4 linked regions of the Drosophila melanogaster genome follow. The protein of the gene in region 3 interacts with the protein of the main gene of each other region in a pairwise test. Each region holds a gene or a part of one and is shown on either strand. Other genes may lie near its edges. The genes, in order: Spt-I, ninaD, Drip and Targ.

Evidence for each region.
Region 1: the proteins of Drip (region 3) and Spt-I interact in a two-hybrid assay, tested with the Drosophila melanogaster proteins (one large-scale study listed by BioGRID).
Region 2: the proteins of Drip (region 3) and ninaD interact in a two-hybrid assay, tested with the Drosophila melanogaster proteins (one large-scale study listed by BioGRID).
Region 4: the proteins of Drip (region 3) and Targ interact in a two-hybrid assay, tested with the Drosophila melanogaster proteins (one large-scale study listed by BioGRID).

Annotation. Positions count from the first base shown.
Region 1 is NT_033778.4:13,166,819-13,171,253, forward strand, and holds Spt-I (serine palmitoyltransferase subunit I), read left to right. Parts: upstream 1-1,679; 5' UTR 1,680-1,752; exon of another isoform or gene 1,753-1,996; 5' UTR 1,997-2,022; coding exon 2,023-2,070; exon of another isoform or gene 2,071-2,132; coding exon 2,133-2,632; exon of another isoform or gene 2,633-2,688; coding exon 2,689-3,016; exon of another isoform or gene 3,017-3,071; coding exon 3,072-3,437; intron 3,438-3,489; exon of another isoform or gene 3,490-3,498; coding exon 3,499-3,663; 3' UTR 3,664-3,926; downstream 3,927-4,435.
Region 2 is NT_033779.5:18,079,985-18,084,163, reverse strand, and holds ninaD (neither inactivation nor afterpotential D), read right to left. Parts: upstream 2,537-4,179; 5' UTR 2,500-2,536; coding exon 2,371-2,499; intron 2,312-2,370; coding exon 2,009-2,311; intron 1,941-2,008; coding exon 1,129-1,940; coding exon of another isoform or gene 1,125-1,128; exon of another isoform or gene 1,068-1,124; intron 1,066-1,067; coding exon 975-1,065; intron 911-974; coding exon 704-910; 3' UTR 556-703; downstream 1-555. Other genes in the region: Arr1 (arrestin 1), read right to left, coding at 3,970-4,017, 4,078-4,179.
Region 3 is NT_033778.4:11,426,636-11,431,684, reverse strand, and holds the start of Drip (drip), read left to right. Parts: upstream 1-2,039; 5' UTR 2,040-2,616; coding exon 2,617-2,632; intron 2,633-3,881; exon of another isoform or gene 3,882-4,233; coding exon of another isoform or gene 4,234-4,243; intron 4,244-5,049. UniProt on the Drosophila melanogaster protein: Forms a water-specific channel.
Region 4 is NT_033778.4:14,666,696-14,672,228, forward strand, and holds Targ (tarag), read left to right. Parts: upstream 1-1,695; 5' UTR 1,696-1,720; coding exon 1,721-1,743; intron 1,744-1,752; exon of another isoform or gene 1,753-1,803; coding exon 1,804-2,405; intron 2,406-2,572; coding exon 2,573-2,823; coding exon of another isoform or gene 2,824-2,827; intron 2,828-2,891; coding exon 2,892-3,228; intron 3,229-3,278; coding exon 3,279-3,895; intron 3,896-3,956; coding exon 3,957-4,449; intron 4,450-4,513; coding exon 4,514-4,770; 3' UTR 4,771-4,980; downstream 4,981-5,533.

The sequences.
Region 1 (4,435 bases), 1.7 Mb from region 3:
GATGTGTGCGATAATGGAACGTGCTGGCTACCGGCTTAGTGGAGCAAGCCGGACCGAATTGGTAGGTCCCGCAAAGAAGAAGAAGTAAAGTGATGTGATGTGAGGTGAAGTGAAGTGAAAACCACTAACTGGGTTGGCGCGGCGCCGTGTTTATTATTGATATTTATTTTGGTTTTTGGCTCGTGCCCGGCCAGCGAGTTACGTAAAAGAAAAGCCAACGTCAAAATGCAGCTCGAAAACTGGTTGCTCCACCGATTTTCGCACACACCAAGAGATACTTATTGCGCATTGCAAAAAGCGGGTAAAAGCGAAAATACCTAATCGAGGAAATACTGCGCTGGGATGCATCAATTGTGTCATGGAGTTAGTCGGGTGCATTGCTCGATTTATCTGCGAAAGTGGGCATGGTGTAGACATGGTAGCTTCATTCGAGCGCATCAAGTTCAAGAGAAATAGGAAGTGGCTTTTCTTTGCGCTATTTCGGTTTGCCATTATCGCATGGGCAATGCTAACTATAACTATTTGATTGATAGATAGTGATGTGAAAGGTACTTTGATTGGTAGCTACATAGTATAGTTCATCAGTATCAGTTGGCAATTATTTAATAATATTGTAATTTAAGACGAAATGGAACTTGATAAAAATGATTATGTATATTTTAAATACAATCGTGACTTTGAAAGAAGTATTTCCTTGGGTCTAATTGAATAGTGATATAGGTAAATAGTAAATAATTATATGAAATGCAATAGAATTTACTATATATTAAAACAAGGACATTTGCAAGGAAGAGTGAATACTTGTACCTAGACTAGATCGCGACACATAGCGTAAATTGTTGTATCTAGACTACCAGCCAGGTACACCCAAATATACACTTCCCATCACTGCCAATAGAAAAAAGTGTTAATTTCACAGAAAACGACAGCCGCAAGTGGCTGAAAATAAACCAAGGCAATTGCAAAATACTCTTGTTGTCCAGCTGATTTCACTTTGTGCACATACAAGTATCCGTTTCGATTCGCGTGTAATGTGATAAAGTTTTCTTGCAAAATGCAGAACTAACTATATCTCTTTGTTTACATCGGCTTTTTGCGGTGTTCTTTGTCTTCTCGCGGTTTTTATCTCGCGAACTCGAATTTCAGATGGCGCCAGTAACGCGGCTCATTCACATCGGTTGACCGATCGCAGCAGCAGTTCAATGGAAACTGAATGGATCGGCGGTTTGAATTGAATTCGATTTCGTTATTTCCCACCGCACGGTCACACTGCGATCGCTGCTCTGCCTATCGATATAAAATAGTAATCGATCATATATTTGAAATGATAACTAGAAAAGAACCGTTACGTAGCAAGTTTATTTGAGTTCAGTATCATAAAAATATTGATAAAATCTAGGTAATTTTTAATAAAAATTTAAAATCTGTTGTAACTTGTTGTATTTTGTTGTTAGCGAGTCAGCTCGGTGGGACAGGTCAGTGGGACACGTCAGCGGAACAGGTCGGTGGGTCAGATCGGCGGGACAGGTCGGTGGGGCAGGTGGGCGGGACAGGTCGACAGGACCAGGTTTTTGAATAACAAAAAATAAATAAAAACGTCCCCTAGTTCCATATTCCACTGTTCCTCCATCGCCGCCAATTTGGCGCACATCTTAAAGATATCCGCGTATTGGTATTTTTTAGTACATTCGTTCATCCATCTGTTTCGGCGGATATTTCACGCATTTTGCCTATAGTTAACTGAGTTTTGTGGTGAGTGCTCGATTTAAATGGATATTTAATGTAAGAGAATGTTGGAGAAGGGCGTGGTTGCACATTTTTCGCCCACTGGCAATTAGCCTATGTCAGCATACACACCCAATTGAAAAGATTTCCGTACCGTATGGTCGAATGCTTCAATTCTACATATGTATGGGGCATACCCGCGATAAGAAAGCGTCGGCTAGATGACACATAACTTCAGGGAATTAAGGCGGTTTCAATTGATTTTTCACAGAAAGGGCACGGAACCAGACTGTCAAAATGGTGGCCATCCAATTGTTCAACGAAATCGGCAGTATTTTCCGAAACGTAAGTTTGCATTCGCCTTTTTCACCACATTTAGCTTACTCCAGTTTCTACTCCTTCCACAGACCCCCACGTTTGCTCTCGTCTTGGAGACCCTACTGCTCATAACCGTGATTTGGTTGCTGCTCCACAGACGAGGAGGAGGTCGTCGCCGACAGCTGACCAAGGAGGAGGAAGACCGAATAATCGCCGACTATGAACCAGAGCCCTTGGTGGCCGACACCGATCCCAATCATCCCCTGCTGCACACCCGCGTTGTGCAGTCCAGGGTGGGCAAGCGCATCCAGGTCGATGGACACGACTGCCTAAATCTTGGCTCTCACAACTATCTTGGCTTCCTCGAGGACCAGGAGATACTGGAGGAGGCCTGCAAGTCGCTGCGCAAGTACGGAGTTGGATCTTGCGGACCTCGGGGCTTCTACGGCACTATGGACGTGCATCTGGACCTGGAGGATCGTATTGCCAAGTTCATGGGCCTGGAGGAGGCCATTGTCTATTCCTACGGCTTCTCGACCGTGGCCAGTGCCATTCCGGCGTATGCCAAACGTGGCGACCTTATCTTTGTGTAGGATTGTCTACTTCACCTACTCAGATTGGCGACTAATTACTTGTTATTTGTAGGGATGAGGCTGTCAACTTTGCCATTCAGAAGGGTCTGGATGCTTCACGAAGCACAATCGTTTTCTTTAAGCACAATGACGTTGAGGATCTAGAACGTCTGCTGATTGAGCAAGAAAAACGAGACCAGAAAAATCCGAAAAAGGCGGCTAAGACACGTCGCTTCCTCGTCGCCGAGGGTATCTATATGAATACGGGCGAGATTTGCCCACTTCCCGACCTGGTGGCCTTGCGTCAGAAGTACAAGCTGCGTTTGTTCATCGACGAAAGCATCTCCTTTGGCACATTGGGCCAGGGTGGTCACGGAGTTACGGAGCACTTTAATGTCGATGTAGGTGGTAAACCGGAAAGAAAAACTAAAATTATAACTGGTATTTTTCTTTTAGCGTGATGAAGTCGATCTGATATCGGCCGGCATGGAGGGTTCGATGGCAACAGTCGGTGGCTTCTGTGTTGGCTCGCACTTCATAGCCGAGCACCAGCGCCTCTCTGGCTTGGGCTACATCTTCTCGGCCTCGCTGCCGCCCATGCTCACCCAGGCGGCTATTTCAGCGTTGGATCGTTTCGAACGAGAACCACAAATCTTCGAGCAGCTGCAGGCAAAGTCTAAGACGTTGCACCAGAAGTTTTTGCGATTCAGCAAGCTAACCCTGCGCGGCGATGAGGTGTCACCAGTGAAGCACTTGTATCTTGCCCAGCCCGCCGAGAACTTTGACAAGGAACTGAAACTTCTAACAGAGCTGGCTGATAAGGTAGGCATTTTATTTCCCCATGCAATTATGAAAACTATACATTTCTACTCACTTTTCCCAGTGCATTGCTCGTGGAGTGGCTGTGGTACAGGCTGCCTACCTGCAGAACAGGGAACGCCAACCAGTCCGTCCCAGCATTCGCATTGCTGTCAACCGTTTGCTGGAGAGTTCGGAAATAGACAATGCGTTTGAGGTCATCGAGAGTGTTTCCAGCTCCGTCCTATAAGCCTTGTTGTTGGAAAGGAATGATCTTCTTTCGACAATGGCCTTGCTGTTAAGTTTTAAGGCCTGCTGGCCCCATCATTTTTTCATCACTTCTTCACGACCAGTCCAGTATGAATTGTTTAAGTTAATAGCTAGCCTTGCACTTGCTCTTTGCACTTTGTTGCATTGCATTTTAATGAAAAATTTTAAGTCTAGGAAAACTTTCAAAGATTACACGTTATAGATAACAGAGCTGGTTAAATAAAACTATTAAGTTTATTTGGTAGTTACGTGCCCTTTTATTGGTGTTTCTTATCGCCTGCGCAATCGCAAACGTTTTTGAATATCCCGATAAAGATAAGGGTAATATTATGTGGCATTTGTTGTAAAATTTACAAGAACAACTTCCACAAAGAAACATTCATTATTTATTTATGTTTTTCTTGCATGACAATTAAGATACACATCACACGCTTAATAATAACTAATATGTGGAATAAGCCAGATGGAATGGAAATGCTTTGAAACGATTTGATTGCCAGTGGAGCAGAGCTGTTTCCGAGTGGCGACCTAATCTGTGAGCAATAATCATAACCCTTCGACTTTCAAACCCATGTTTGTGCATTCGATTCACTGATGAACTTGACAACGACGACCCCAAATCATGATGTTGTGCACATAGCGCTCTGATTTCGATGCCGATATGCCAGCCGGCAATCAGCGCCAATTGAGCGTATACGTACTATGAACTTGGGTGCGGTGCTATCAGTGCGAATACGCAACATTTGGCGACA
Region 2 (4,179 bases), on a different chromosome or scaffold from region 3:
AGATTAGATTTCAAGAGCAAATTAACAGGTGATTTTTTTATTTTTATATTTGTTTTGAATTCTCCACTTGGAACGCTTCTGATAGGCTAATCTCCGAAAGCTTTTTCAAGTGGCTTGTTTTACGGCCTGAGTTAAATGTTATACGAAGTTTTGTGATTATATTTCGTTTCACTCATTAGATAAATCATTAGATGCACTGTAAAAAAGAAAATACAACTGAGATACGAAATCGTTTAAATAGGTATAGGAATCACATAACTATTATACAAATTTGTTGAGTTTTTTAAATCTTAATTTTAATGATTTTATTTAATTTTCTTTTTCTTTTGTGTATATGAATTAATTATAAACTAAAAAAGACACACAGATGATGTTTGAATTTTAATTTTAAAAACAATTAAAAAATGTTCTAAAATAAAACCTTTATTTAAAGAGCCTATTTAAATTTGTGTACAAGCTTCTATAAATTCATTCACTCAATCATTTAAAAAACCACATAGATAAATATAAGCTTTAACTAATTTAATTATTGTAAAATGAAGACAATAGTTATATGAGTTTTTTAAATTTTATTAATTTTTTCAGTTGTTTAGAAGTTTTATATTTTAAAGCTAGAATAAAAAATGTTTAGAGTTATTTATCACATATATGTTTTTTGAATCACATCCGTGTGCTGCTCATTAAAAAAAATGTTAATACTAAATTAAAAGTTTCGTTCGACCACGTTGGCCGGAACTTCCGGTTCATATGGAGTTTCCTCGTTATCCTTGAGAGCCAGTTTGTCCAACTCGGCCTGGCCATACCACTTCCTCTTAATGGTAAGTAAGATGCCAACTGCTATAAGAATGCAGCCCAGGCACAGGAATCCCACTCCAGTATATCTCCCTATAGCCGGTAGATTCAGTGCCAACTAAAAGACAAAATGCATTATTTAAAATAGAAATCAACGTAGTTCAACAAGCTCTAAAACATACCCTAAGTTCTGAGGCGAGGGCTTCGTCGATTTCCGCTCGACTAGCAGTGGTAAAAAGTGGTGCATAGAAGCTGGGCAGGCCCTTCAGTATGCTAGGAAAAAATGTGTTTATCAAGTCATATATATGGTAGGCAACAATTATTGTAAATAATTACTCTATAACGCTGTCTGGCTCTATGTACAAGGTAATCATCACATTGGCATTGACCTTCAACGGCACTCCCATCTTGCGCTCCATGATGATATAAAAGTTATTTTGATCGTAATTCGGATTGTAGCCGCTTATCGTGCTGCCATAACTTTCGTCCGCGTACATAAAATGATCCGCAGAAAGGTACATGGGAACTCCATCGGCACACGGTCCTAGGTCAGTGGCTCCGGTTGCAGGACAATTATCTGGCTGGCGCTCCAAAGGACACCAGCACTTCGCGTTACCATTGATCTGTCCATTGTCGAAGGTATTCGGCGTTATCTCGTACTTCCAACCCGTGATGCCCTGAATTGTTTCGCTCTGTCCGGTGAACTCAAGATTTATGATCCGACAAGTATCCGGAATGAAGATGGTCAAAGCCTTCTCCTTGGGCTCATCGGGCACAAAAAGATCCGTGGTGCTGCCATTGAGACGTCCACATTCTCCATCGTACCATCCCGTGTGATTCTGGCCCTTCCAATACTTAATTTCACCCATCTCCTTGATGTCACCCACTCCGGTGTGTACAGTGAAGGGACCCTCGAAGTCCTTCGATCCGTTACGGTTGAGGAACCAGGCAAAGTGATCCGACTCGATTTTTGGGACCAATGGATTATTCAGGGTCATGGCGTAATGCAAAAATTCGTCGTAGAAACTTTCGAACAGCCATTCAGCTGCCGTGTGGGTCACAAAGAGATGTCCACCATTCGCATTTAGGGCCTCGTTGAACATGAATTTCAGGAAGACGTTGCTATTCCGCATTTGGTTTGAAGCAGCCTGCAAAAAGTGAAAAAGGAAAACTTCTTTTAGACCAAATTGTTTTTTAATAACTGCTTATTTCCTACCAATGAAGGTAAATGTGGGGCGGTAATTAAATCCGTTTGCTTGCCGCCAGAGAGCTCCTCTTCCCAGAACCAAGTTCTTCTGGGGTTAAAGGTAACTGTGCCATTGTCGTGCCACTCAAGATCCATCTTCTTCCTCTCCTCTCGATAAACATAGGGTCCAAGTTGCGCGAAAATAGGTTTTACTCCATTAGCCTGCACATCTGCGGCATTTGTCCAGTTCCAAAGATACATGTAGACATACACCGGAATGGGCAGCTCCTCCCATTTTTCAAAAGTCTTTGAAGTGGGTGTCAACGGCAAGGCCTTTTTAATAAATCGATTAGTACTCCTCCTTAATTTTATTTTTATACACCGCCTCTCACCTTCATAATCCCTGAGTCTATAAAGCCAGGCCAGCATATTATGGCCAGGAGTCCGGAGACCGCGAAAAAGGTTCCCAGGCCGAAGACCCAGGCCTTTTGTTGGGTCACCCCACAGCAGCTGCAGCACATATTGAGAGACGAAACAAAGGCTTTCGAGCGACTGCAAAGTGGAAAAATATCGCTCGAGTTTTTATTCATGCGTCGCTTAGTAGATTATCCACTAGTAAATAAAGCAGCGGCTAATCATCATGTCTACTGTGGTAATCAGCTCGGTTTGGTTTGCTCAACTTATTCTGTGGGGTGATTGGGATCTAAGTGTGTGTTTAGAGTACCAAAAATCCTGATAAATGCAAAACGCTGCACTTAGTTTATTGAGAGTGCTGGCTAATCAGCCAGACTAGCAGTAGTAGCTATTTCATGCTGCCACGTACCAAATACCACTTGGTAACTAAATCAAATTTAACGATACATGGTACAATTTTATTTATAATAGTATATAAAAGTAATTAGGTACATTTTTATTTTAGGAATTAAGTTTCGTTTATCAGTTCTTAAGTTTTTAATAGCATGCCAGAGTGCTTCCTAATTCGCATTATAAATTAACTTGAAGCTAGTTGATTAAACTATTAATACGGTCAACTATTTTTGCCTTGACGCTCGCCCATCTTATCGGTTATATAGCATGTATGCTTAAATTAGTATTTGCAATGCAATTTTTATGGTCAGCCACTATAAAAGATCACTTCCAAAGACGGCAATCTAATCTTCCTTAATGAAATTCGATTAATCCCATTACGCAAAACCATTTTAAACTCATTACCCACCTGGTCTGCCGAAATGTTGGCAGCGTGATTGATCAGTATTTCAACCCTGACTATTGGAAAATTTTGATTAGAGTGGCGTTATCGTTAATATTGGGTGCTTATTAAAAGTGGGACTGCAAACATTCACAAATTAAATGGATGCGTTTGAAGTGTGTTCGCTTAAATTTTACGATTTCAAAGTCCAGCAAGAAGCTCACCATATTATATCAATTATTGTCCATTTTCCTTACTCGAATTCAGTTCAGTAAACTTCCTCCAGCATAGTGGCCAAGTATTAATTAGGCTGCTCCTCGGCTTTTCAGAGTAGCAATAATTGGAATTACTAAGCCACAAATGCAAGACCCACTATTAGTAATTGAATAGATTGCACTGGCTTCTGTTGATTTCCCCATTGCACTTCAATGTACATAATCAGCAGACATTGCAAGATATCAAATACTACGAAATGCCTTCGTAAGCACATTATTAAATATTTAGTGCGCATTCCATACAAACTTTCAATGCTGGAGCCTTTTCAAATACACCGTGCTAAATTCAATAGAATACTCCAAAATACATACATAAACTCTGTTCATATTTAATTGTTAGTTGAGTTATAAATATAATACACATACACACATACAATATATGGATATTGGATTTGCTATATAGGAAAAGTACGACGACTGCAGTTCAGAACATTTCAGCAACATCAGCATTTTTTAGGATCTACAAAAATCGGTTTGACTTGTAGAAATACGCCATTTTTTTCGTTGGTTGAGGTAGCCCTTTCAGTTTAGGCCTCAATGGAGCCCTCGGCTTCCAGTTGGGCCTTGCGACTTGGCTGTAAATAATTGATTGCCTTTCAATAACTATTCAAATATTTGGGCACACCTTTTATTACCTTCGGGTGCATCAGAATAAATGGTAGCTCAGCGCAGAGCTCGCCGCCCAGGGCTCCCAAGAAAAGCTTGACCTTCACAGCATATGAAACAATTATGCCAAA
Region 3 (5,049 bases):
GATTTCCAGTATTACTTATTGATTATATCCTACTAGATTATTAAACTTAAATGATATCTTAATAATATTTTCAGTATAAGTTCTAAAGAGGGAAATAAACAATTTTGGTAATTTACCCACAACAGCTACGTACTATCTGTAACTAGCATTAACAACAATTATTTCCAATGTCTAATTCTGAGTTTTTACTTTGTGCCTTTCGATGAATTCAAAGTTTTGTTAAATCTATTTTACAAACCTATAGTAGATAATCTGCAACTGCTTAATAACAATTAAAGCGAATCTAATTTGATGATTTCAACTATTCCCATCTAGTTACTAGATAAAATTATACTTTTAATTGGTATCGTTGGGCAAACTCACTTTGGTGAATGAAACTCCAGTTGAAAAGGAGCCAAGATCTATTGGTAATTCGACAGGCATATACCATCTCCACATCGGCGATTATTATCTCGCCCATTTAGCCAGAGTTTGTGCCATTTTAATGCTTAACTGCCATTAAATATAATTACTCATTAAAGCAAAAGAGCCCCGGCATGTACATACATACATACTTCGCTTGAATTCCCCATGCGAAGGCACAAATAAGTCCGTCTGCGATTTGGCTCTTGTTTTCATAATGGGCCAAGACGCTTCCCCACAAACAAAATCGCAGCTCTTGGCGAGCGAGTCTTCTTTTATTTTGGCTTGTCACTTGTTTTGTCAATAACTCGCAACTGTTGCTCTGTTAAGAGATAAAAATAGCCCGCGACGACGACAAGGTAAAAGCCCTTTTCACCAGCAAAGCCCCGCAATCAATATGGCATATTAAAGTTGGTGAAAAGCTGTTTAAAAGTGAAACTGATAACGGCCCAACCGTCCATAACCCATTAGCCGCGTTTTAAGTTGGAAAAGCTGCAATAAGGTGCCATTAAAAGAAAATGAAAACTGTTCCGGCATTGGAATGGTTGAGTGGGTGGGTGGTAGGTCTAGTACAACCGTTTGGTGGGTGGTTCAAACAGTCACGTGCAGCGTTTGTGGATTATCAAAAGTCAAAAACCCCCTGTAATGATAACATCTTAGCTATGCGATAATTGAGTCTGAGGTTCGGCATGACCAGCGCAATTAGATTAATCAAAAATGTGTTTATGGCTCCTTGAGTGTCCATATATCAAGTGAACAAAATGGCAGGCGAATAATAGTTCTTAGGCTGTGTGCAAAAACCCAAAATGGCTGTGAACTTTCCCCATGGTCAATAACAATTCGATTATGAACTTGGCCATCTGTCGGCTAATTGCAATTCATTGGTTTTTAATTGGCACCATATAAGCAATGCTATATTTTGGGAGCTTTTATGTGATTATCACATCACATTTACCAAAGACTAAGCAAGACAACCATTTTCTATTGTATATATATCTTATACATGGATATATGTACATATGTGCCTATCTTATCTATATTATATCTATGTGATTCGTCTAAAGACTAAGGCCCTTGAGTGGCTTTTTCGGATATGAAACAGTTGATTTAAACCGATGTTATGCCAATTGGTTATAGAATAACTTTGGGGGAGAGTCCATATATCATCAGTAACGGTTAGCAGCTGATAAGACCATGACTGGAAAATGTTTCGTGTTATGGGGTAGACTCGAATGGGGTATTACTCATACTCATACGTTTTGTTTTAAAAAACAATTACGCCACAAGTTATACTGACTAATTTCACTCAGAACTAACTGAGAGCTACTTTCGAAGGGCAAAGTAGGGATTTATTGTAGTATTTGGCAAGCAACTCACTTTGGCCAAAACAGAGCCATCAAAAGCCACAAGAGTCATTACAAATGTTTTCGCGCCCCCATTCGATTAAGTCATCCGGGGTAGGTGTATTCCGAGCTTAGATCCTTTGAGGCGTCCAAGTGGATACATGCGGAGCTCCGCGGTGGCCAAGCCCCAAAACTAAAAAATCTGAATGGGGCAGTGACGGCGACGCGACTGCGACGCCGACCGCGACGACGACCGCGGCAGAGAGTATATCAGTTACAGTCGCAGCGTTGGCAACGCTTATTTGCGCTCGAGCAGCGAACGTGGTAGCACAGCTTTAAGCACTACAGCACTACAGTACAAACTGCGAGAAAGAAAAGCGGCAGTTTCGAAAATCCGAAAAGGAAATCGAGTTCGGAGCGGTTAGTTTAATTGGCGATAATAATAAACTAATAATAAAATCGAGTTATTGCACGTTGCGCTTTCCAATTTCGAAAAGGAAATCTGAAAATATTGTAGCCCAGTGAAGAAAATAAGTCAATCGGGTGAAATTAAATTGATAACAACACCGCTTTCCGCCCCATATTCGACTCCGTGTGGTCAAGTGGCAGACAATTGTGCAACCTCAAGACTCTTAACCTTAACAATTATATTTCGGCCACAAAAAACTATTGGCACAATTCAGTTCGATTCGAGTGCGCGCTAACTCACTTTTACCCGCAGCAAAAAGCAATAAGGCAAAAAGCACGCTTTGAAAACGAAAGCAAAGCACAAGTTCGCTTCGAAACCCCCCACGCTTGCCAAAAATCTCAAGTGGCAGCCCCCAGAAGACAGTAGATCGTAGCCAGAAGACCGAAGACAGAAGACAGCAAAATGGTCGAGAAAACAGGTGAGTGATTGGCGATTGGAGGCTGGAGAATGCGAAATATGCGTGTGCGTGTGTGCGAAGGTTAATTGCGAGCAAAATTTGGGGGCGAGAGTGCGGCAAATTGTTATGGTTTTGTGCGAAAGTTAATCCCACTCTTTTGGGGCTTTCAACTTTTGCTTGAATAATATCACAAACCAATGAGAGTGTATAATTTCCAAAACTATTGATCGAAATCGTTTGCAATTTGCTATTGCCAGTGTATCAATCCTTATGTTTTTTTACATTAAAATAAAACGATCAAAAGTAAACCATAAAATTTGTAATGAATACAGTTTTAACAAATCTACTTTTGATTTAATAAAGCACCCAGTTTGTTTATTGCAAAATAGGCCCCTCTTTGGATTTCACTTTCAAAGCAAACAAATAGTAACCCAAAATTTGCCTTAAATTAATCATTCCTTCACAATTAATCAACTTTAATAAGCCATCGAAAGATGTTTTGATAAATCATCTTTTTCTTTTTTTTCTTTCTTTGTTTTGGGTGGTTGGGCGAATCAAAGAGTAGCCCGCCTGTCGATAACGATAACGAGATGATTGGTTTTCAATAATTTCTCTGACACAGCATGACAAAGACAGCAAATTAGCCCCGAGTTATTTTTTTTTTTATAGTTAGACGTAGTTTTTTGTTGCTTTGATTTAGCTTCCGTGGCGATTGATGATGATTTCTGTAACTGAAAGTTTGCATGACAGAAAAGCCTGGAAAGAAAAAAAAAAGATAGATAGGAGAAAACTTAGCTAGGTAAACAACAGCGGAAACTCCGGCCGAGGCAATTTATGCGATGATGATGTTGATGGCTCCCCAACGAAAGCAATAAAACCACACCGAACCGAGTCAAGTCAGTCAAGTGAATGAACTGGAGGAAAACACCCTAAGAGCCAAATAAGTAGGAACTTTTATTTGTGCGATCTGAACAGTCAAATTAATTAAAAACCTAATTGCATTCCTCTGGTTGCTTCGCAGAATTAAAGCCAACCTCTGGCGTCATTTTCGCCGCCTGTTCCGCCGATATCGTTGTGATAATGACCATAATATTTACCCGGCACTGAATACTCATTTGCCAAGCCAAGAATTCTCGGTTCCAGCTAATTAATGTCAACGCCTGAGCATCTATTTGATCAAGTGTTTAAACACAGGGCTCAATATTTGATTTAGATATTAAATATGTTCACTTAACGTGGCTGCTTAATGCTCGGGTGGAATTTTGAGACCAGTAAGCGTTTAAAAATAGTCGAGTGAGGTGCGTGAGAAATTCGCAGCCCTTTGGCGCTGAAATTCTGCAAATTATAGTACAAACGTGTGGCTAATTTGATATCCCTCTTTCGCTTAATGTCTTCTCCGCCTCATAATTCAATGCGTTGTCATCTTGGACCAACATCACTTTATACATATATATATATATATATATATGTGTAGACAGACTTCCACCTGACGTTAGTAGCTGCTGTTTTTGTGGCGACGGATTCGCAGATATAACAAAATTACAGTAATAATCGTGCGCGGAGTTGACATGACATCACGGTGAAATTGGCATTCAAAACAGTAGCAAACTTAAGGCCAGGAAATGGTTTTTGGTATGACTGGAGAACATTTAGACATTTAACACAGTTAGTGCACATCCCCATTTACTTAATTCCATCCAACCGAGCTCCGTTCTCAATGGAAGATCAACTTGTTTGTTAATCGGATAGCTTATAATTAAGATAATAAGCTGCCATTGAGATGCACAGAAGCGAAGATGTTCGGTTCCCATGGAAAGTTTTTGATTCACGTAACGTTCAATTAAGTTTACGGAAAATAATTGGAATGTTCATATATCTATTGATTTGATGTAGAAGTGACTGTGTGCCATACCGAAAATTTAGTCCGCTTTGGTGTACAAATTGCATATTTTGCAAATTTAAAAAAACAATCCGAAAGAAATACAACTTTGTTGCCTTTTAAAATGCCATCCATTATGTGCCTGAAAAACAGCCTTTCAGTCTCCCAATTTTCCCTATCGTGTCGTCTCAAATTATCGCCATTAATTGACAAACTTCCAAAGTTAGTCATAAACCACAAACCCCAATAAATTGCCTTTGATTTATGGTGCATTGTAAACGAGTTAAGCGACATAAATTCGTTTGGAGCAAAAGCCCATAAAGATTATAAGTGAGTTTGAACGTACTCCTCCCGCACAGCAAACGAGCAAACGAAAACTGAATAGTCCCCTGCCCATCTGACTAATTAATTTATAACGATTTTAATAGCCAGCGAACAGGTTTCGATCTTTCCCGCGACTGTTATTAATAAAATCATCACCTTGCCGAACAAAAGTGCCCAAGAGTTGCGCAAAGCCGAAATTAATAATCCGATTAAATTGATTAATTGTTGTAGACGA
Region 4 (5,533 bases), 3.2 Mb from region 3:
AAACGGAGGTTTTGGATTGGAACCGGTGCTGTGGCAGGTTGAGAGACACGAAATTTTGGTCTGTACAGGCGAACGCTCTGCTTTGATCTGGCTAACACCAAGGTGCTGAACCAATAGTTGGCAAGAAATCTAGTCCAAGGCCGCCATGATGGGATCTATTTTATTTACATTTCAACAGCTACTTCTCTATGGATTCCAGATTTAAGTGTGTAATTCCTCGAATACTGTCGCGAATTGAGCCTTTTCCGGGCCACGGACCAAATGGGTTTTCCTTGTTTGTTCTGCAGTTAATTGCGAATGGATTCGATGCCAGCGAATTTGCAATGTCCAGCTGCCTTGATTTGCAGGCAAATAACAATAAAGAAAAAATAGGCAACGCAACCTTCACTTTACGAATTTTTGCCCCAGCTTGTTTGCAAGTTAAATGCAAACAGAGTGCAGCCAGCCAAACGACAAAGCCCAACAAAAAAAAAAAAAAATAAAACAGAACGAAAAATATACATACAAAGCTGACCCCCTGCGAAAAAAAAAACAACAGAAGTCCACTAGAATAAGTATACGCCGCGTTGGTCGCCGCTCGCTGCTTGCTGTTCTCGGGGCAGTTTTCGCTTTTACGCCGCTATTTTCATTGGAGTCACTGCCGTCCGAGAGTGGCCATGCATGAGGGCTCCCATAAAATTGGGTCAATTGCTGTTAACAATTTGGCAGCGCAATCTTTTGGCCGTTTCGATTTCAAGGCGCTCAGGGGAAAAAAAATCGAAAAATAGGAAAACACAACGTGGGCCATAAAAAACGAGCACGTACGAGCGAACCTTTTGGAAAAAAACAATTTCCGCATAGAGTTGTTGGCCAGGAAAAATAGCCGCTGCAATCGGTGCTCCCCCGCGGGAGAACAGGAAAAATCCAGGGGGGGGGGAAGGTGTAGATGAAGCTGAAGTGGCTGGTCGAAAAGTTTGCTGGCCTTTACGCTAATTAATTAGTGCACTTTGTTTGTAATTCATTTTGCAAAAGCAGGGCTGGCTTAGTTAAAGTTTCCAGGGGCGAGGTTTGTTTCATAAAGCATGGACCGACTGCCTCCAATTCAAGAGCCCGGGCATCACTTTCCATTTAATCAACTGGGGAAACAGTCGACCCCAATACTTCAGCTCTTGTTGCCTTTGAGTGACTGCCAATGAAGTTACTGCCCCTAAAGCTGAGATGCACTTTAGCCGCTCCACTCCAATCGCTCCGCTCTCCGTGCAAAACTCAGACGACTAAGGAATGATTTCATTTACTTACAATCAATGAAATTGCACTGATGCAATTTTGTTTCGGCCCCAAAATAAACAGGCAAGCGGGTGGAACGGAGCTGGGATCGGGTTGTGGCAATAGGGATTCGCCAGGCAAAAGAAGATGGCGATGGCGAGGCGATGGCTAAAAAGTAACAGTTGCAGTGGGGCAATTGCGGAGGAGGAGCAACTGGGGGTCACCAACAAGCAACTACCAACCAACTCCGTTTGTCACGCTCGCCTGGCAGCCATGACAGCATTTGGTAGCCAGGAGCAGCTAATGTCTGGCGACAGTTCCCGAATCCCACGAATCCCCATGAATTCCCGTTCCTGTTGCTGGGGCTTCTCATCTTGCAGCCAGACACGTAGCCAGCCACTGTGCATTGGGTTCGGGTCGAGACGCAGAGAGATTTGTGAAAGATGTCAGGAACACTCTGCGACAGAGTCGAAAAATGAGCAGGAATCGTAGGCGAAGGTGACTGAGTCTGTTCGCCCAGCAAAGCACTCAACTCGACCAAATCCCTCTGTTTTTCAGCTTCCCCAGCAGCCAATATGAAGATAAGACCGCCGCTGCACAGCCAAGTGGAAGTAGCTTGAGATCCCAATCTCTGTCCAGGCTGGACATCTCGGTTCAAAACTCATCCATCTATTACAATGATACGCGAAACACGCGACCACAAATGGTCAGTGTGGCCGTCGGCACAGTTTCAACGGATATCCTGAATGGGCGCACATCATTCTTGTCCCTTAGTCAGTCTCACGGGAGTGAAGTGGATTTGCCTTCGTTCTACGAAAGCTTTAATCCAACTTTTCTTCCCAAGCTGCCTATCAGAAGATTTCCCCATATGCTTGTGGGGGCATCAAATGAGCCTGAGATTTCGAAAAACCAGCCAGCAATTCCACCATCTAGGCCAATTGAGCCAATATCTGAGGTGCCGTTTGTGGAACCGGCCTTTGAGAAAAAATACTCTAGGACCCGTGGATTTAGCAAGGAATTGTCCACACACAGGGATAATGAGAATGAATATATCGAGAGCACAGATGAGGTGTCTCAGATGTTGAGCTTTACTAGCTATACGGATGAATATGATAGGGCAGAACCACTCATTACCAAAACGCAAAAGTTTTATAAAAAGAGTAAGTTATCATAGCGCTGCCTTCCTTTTTACAAAAATGTTTTTTTTTTTATTTTTATTTTATTGTCATGCAATTGAATTTTGTCTAAGCTATTTTTGGCCATTTGCTTGAAATTGAGGAACCTACCAAATGCATTTCTTGTAGCTAAAACTGTAGCCTTCTTACAGGATCCCCCTTGATTCCCAAATACGATTCCGAGGATTCATATGTGGTCCCTAAGGAAACCGATCAACAGGAATCGGGTCTCTCGTTCAATGTAACTACAGTACAGTTGGCCGATACCGCATCGCCGGAATCTTTCAGCGAATACGACGGAAATCGAACGCGCAAGCAATCGTTCGACATGGAAAGTAAAAATTCGAAGGAGTCCTTTGACTTTAGCCGTGGTGGAAGACGACTTGGCTCCGGTATGGTTTTTGTAAGTGAGTGAATAGCATTCTTGTGGTGGTGAATTGAGAAACGAATGACGACTCTTGTCATCCACAGATCTATATGGTGATACCACCGGACGGCGGATTCGGTTGGGTAATCATGGTGCTGTCCTTCCTCGCCCAGCTGATAATCGATGGTTTAATTTTTACCATTGGGGTCTTATTGCCATCCATTGCCCAGGATCTGGATGTCTCCATATCGTCGGTATCGTTTGTGGCCAGTGTCCAGATTGGTTGCTACTTCACTAGCGGAGCGTTTTCTGCTGTCCTGATAAATCGTTTTGGTTTCCGAAAGGTAGCCATCGCTGGGGTCCTGTGTTCCGCAGTTTCAATACTGGCGTCCAGTTGGAGCGTCAGCTTGACCATGCTGATCTTCTTTTACAGCGTCCTTGGTAGGTTGATTCTAGATTGCTGTACGATATTCGATGAATAATAGTACTAGCCTGCGCAGGTGGTATTACGTTGAGCATGATCTGGGCAAGTTCGCAGCTGATTGTTGGCTACTACTTTGAGCGGTACCGTCCGATGGCCAATGGATTTTCCTGCAGCGGTGGCGGTGCGGGCATAGTACTCTTCACGTTCCTCAACAGCTGGCTGGTGCCAATCATCGGATGGAGGAACATGCTGCGGACGCAGGCGGGGCTGATAATGTTGATCCTGTTGATGGTGGTCGCCTATGTGGAGGTGGCTCCCACCCAGGTGGGCATGTACCATTTACCCGGTTCTTCGGATACCAGTTCGGATGAGTATTACGGCAACTTCTACGTGCATGACTATTTACGTCAATCCGCGATGACTGCTAAAAGCCGGAGTATCCTAAGTACATATGAGCCACGCCCAAAAAAGAAAGGATGCGCCAAGTTCTGCCCCTCCTGTTCGAACTGTTGTTGGAGGCGGCGGAAGAAGTCGCAAAATGCTGATGAGCAGAATCTGCTCATCCGCCCGGCGCCCCTGGAGCGGGAGGATCTCTTCTATACGGGTCCTGCCGAATACGAAAAGCCGCACAGCAAGGAGAACGTCGACGGCAAGGAGTTCCTACTAATGGGATCGGATAAGAACGTAAGTGTTGTATTAAGAATAAATTCGCTTCAACTTAAGAACACCACCAACTTTCACTTAGACCCAGCAAGTGAACTATGGCATCAAGAACATTCGTGTGGATGATGAACCCGATAGGATTTCTAGAGTTCATAGGGAACGAAGATGGTCAAACGAGAATCAGAAAAAGCAAAATTCCTGTAGGAATAGCCGGTTTATGCTCACTGTGCTCAAACTATTCGACTACCGCCTGCTGAAACAGTTTGAGTTCAAGATTCTGGTGGCGTCCGCCTTTCTGTTCCCGATGGGCTTTAATATACCCTTTGTTTACTCGTCTGCACGAACCACGATCCCCGTCGAATATGCCCGTATGATCGGCCCCATTATCGGAATTAGTAATCTTGTGATGAGAAACATCCTTGGCATCCTCGCTTACAAAAGGCGTAGTTGGACCCTCGGACTTTGTGGTTGTGGTCTAATTTTCGGTGGTGTTTCCGTTTTGATTAGCGCCTTCTATGGAGAGAACTTGATTTGGTTCCAGTTTCTGTATGGCTTCTCCTATGCTGTAGCGCCTGGTGCGTACATTTACTTACCTTACTTAAGTTTACAATATTACCCTCTCTCATTTCCATGGAATAGCTGTTTATTCCACACTGAGAGGTTTGATATACGTGAAATACCTGGGACTTTCAAAACTGACCAACGCTTTTGGGATTACCTCATTGGCCATGGGAATGGGCGCCTTTATTGGGACTACAATTGCTGGTAAATTGATAGGCATCACGGGAAACTATTCTGCTGCCTTTTGCTTTGCGGGATTATGTCTCATAGTGTCCGGATTTCTGAAGCTTCTGCTGCCCTTGCTTATTAAATGTCGCAACAGGATGGCCCAATGAGGAATTGGACTATTGGAATTGCAATATTTATTGGTTCTCCTGCTTGGAACTTGGGATTGTCTTACAACTAATAGCTTAGGCATTTTTATGACTTTTTTTTACTGGTCCTCGTTCCAAATTCTGAGTAAATGTTTGTATATCCATGTAATTGTTAATTGACCGATGTCATTAACTATTACTTCCTCCTTATTACAGATTTATTTTCAATATAATTTCAATTCAAGTGAGTTCTTTTTGGGGTTGACTTTTATTGCAATCCATTTTAAGTTATTAGTTAGCTTAGTTTACATCTAATATTAGCTTAGTTGCTGAACAACACACTTTGGCTCCACGCTTATAGGTTCAAGTGTGCTGTGTTTGGTTTTTCATTTGGTTTTGTTTCCATTTTTCCTTGTTTGGGTATGCAAATTTTCACGCTTCTTGTTTACTTTGATTTGCTTTCTAAACTTTGTACGTCTACTGTTCAATGTTTTGTTTTTTTTTTCTTCATTTTTTATATTTTATGATGATTTTTTTACATATTATTTAGAGCTAAAGCAACGAAAAAAAAAATATAAATCAATGTGAACACATAAACATAAGAATGTTTGAATCGACATCCGCAGGACGAATGACTCCAATCCTCTGTGTCCTGTGTCTAAATCTTTCTTGTGTTTTTTAATATTGTCAGTAGTCTTCCCCATCGTCGCCTCTAATTTAATCCATTTTTAATTGAAGTCTCTGCCGTCTGCGTTAAAAACAATGTCATTTGATAATGTAAAGT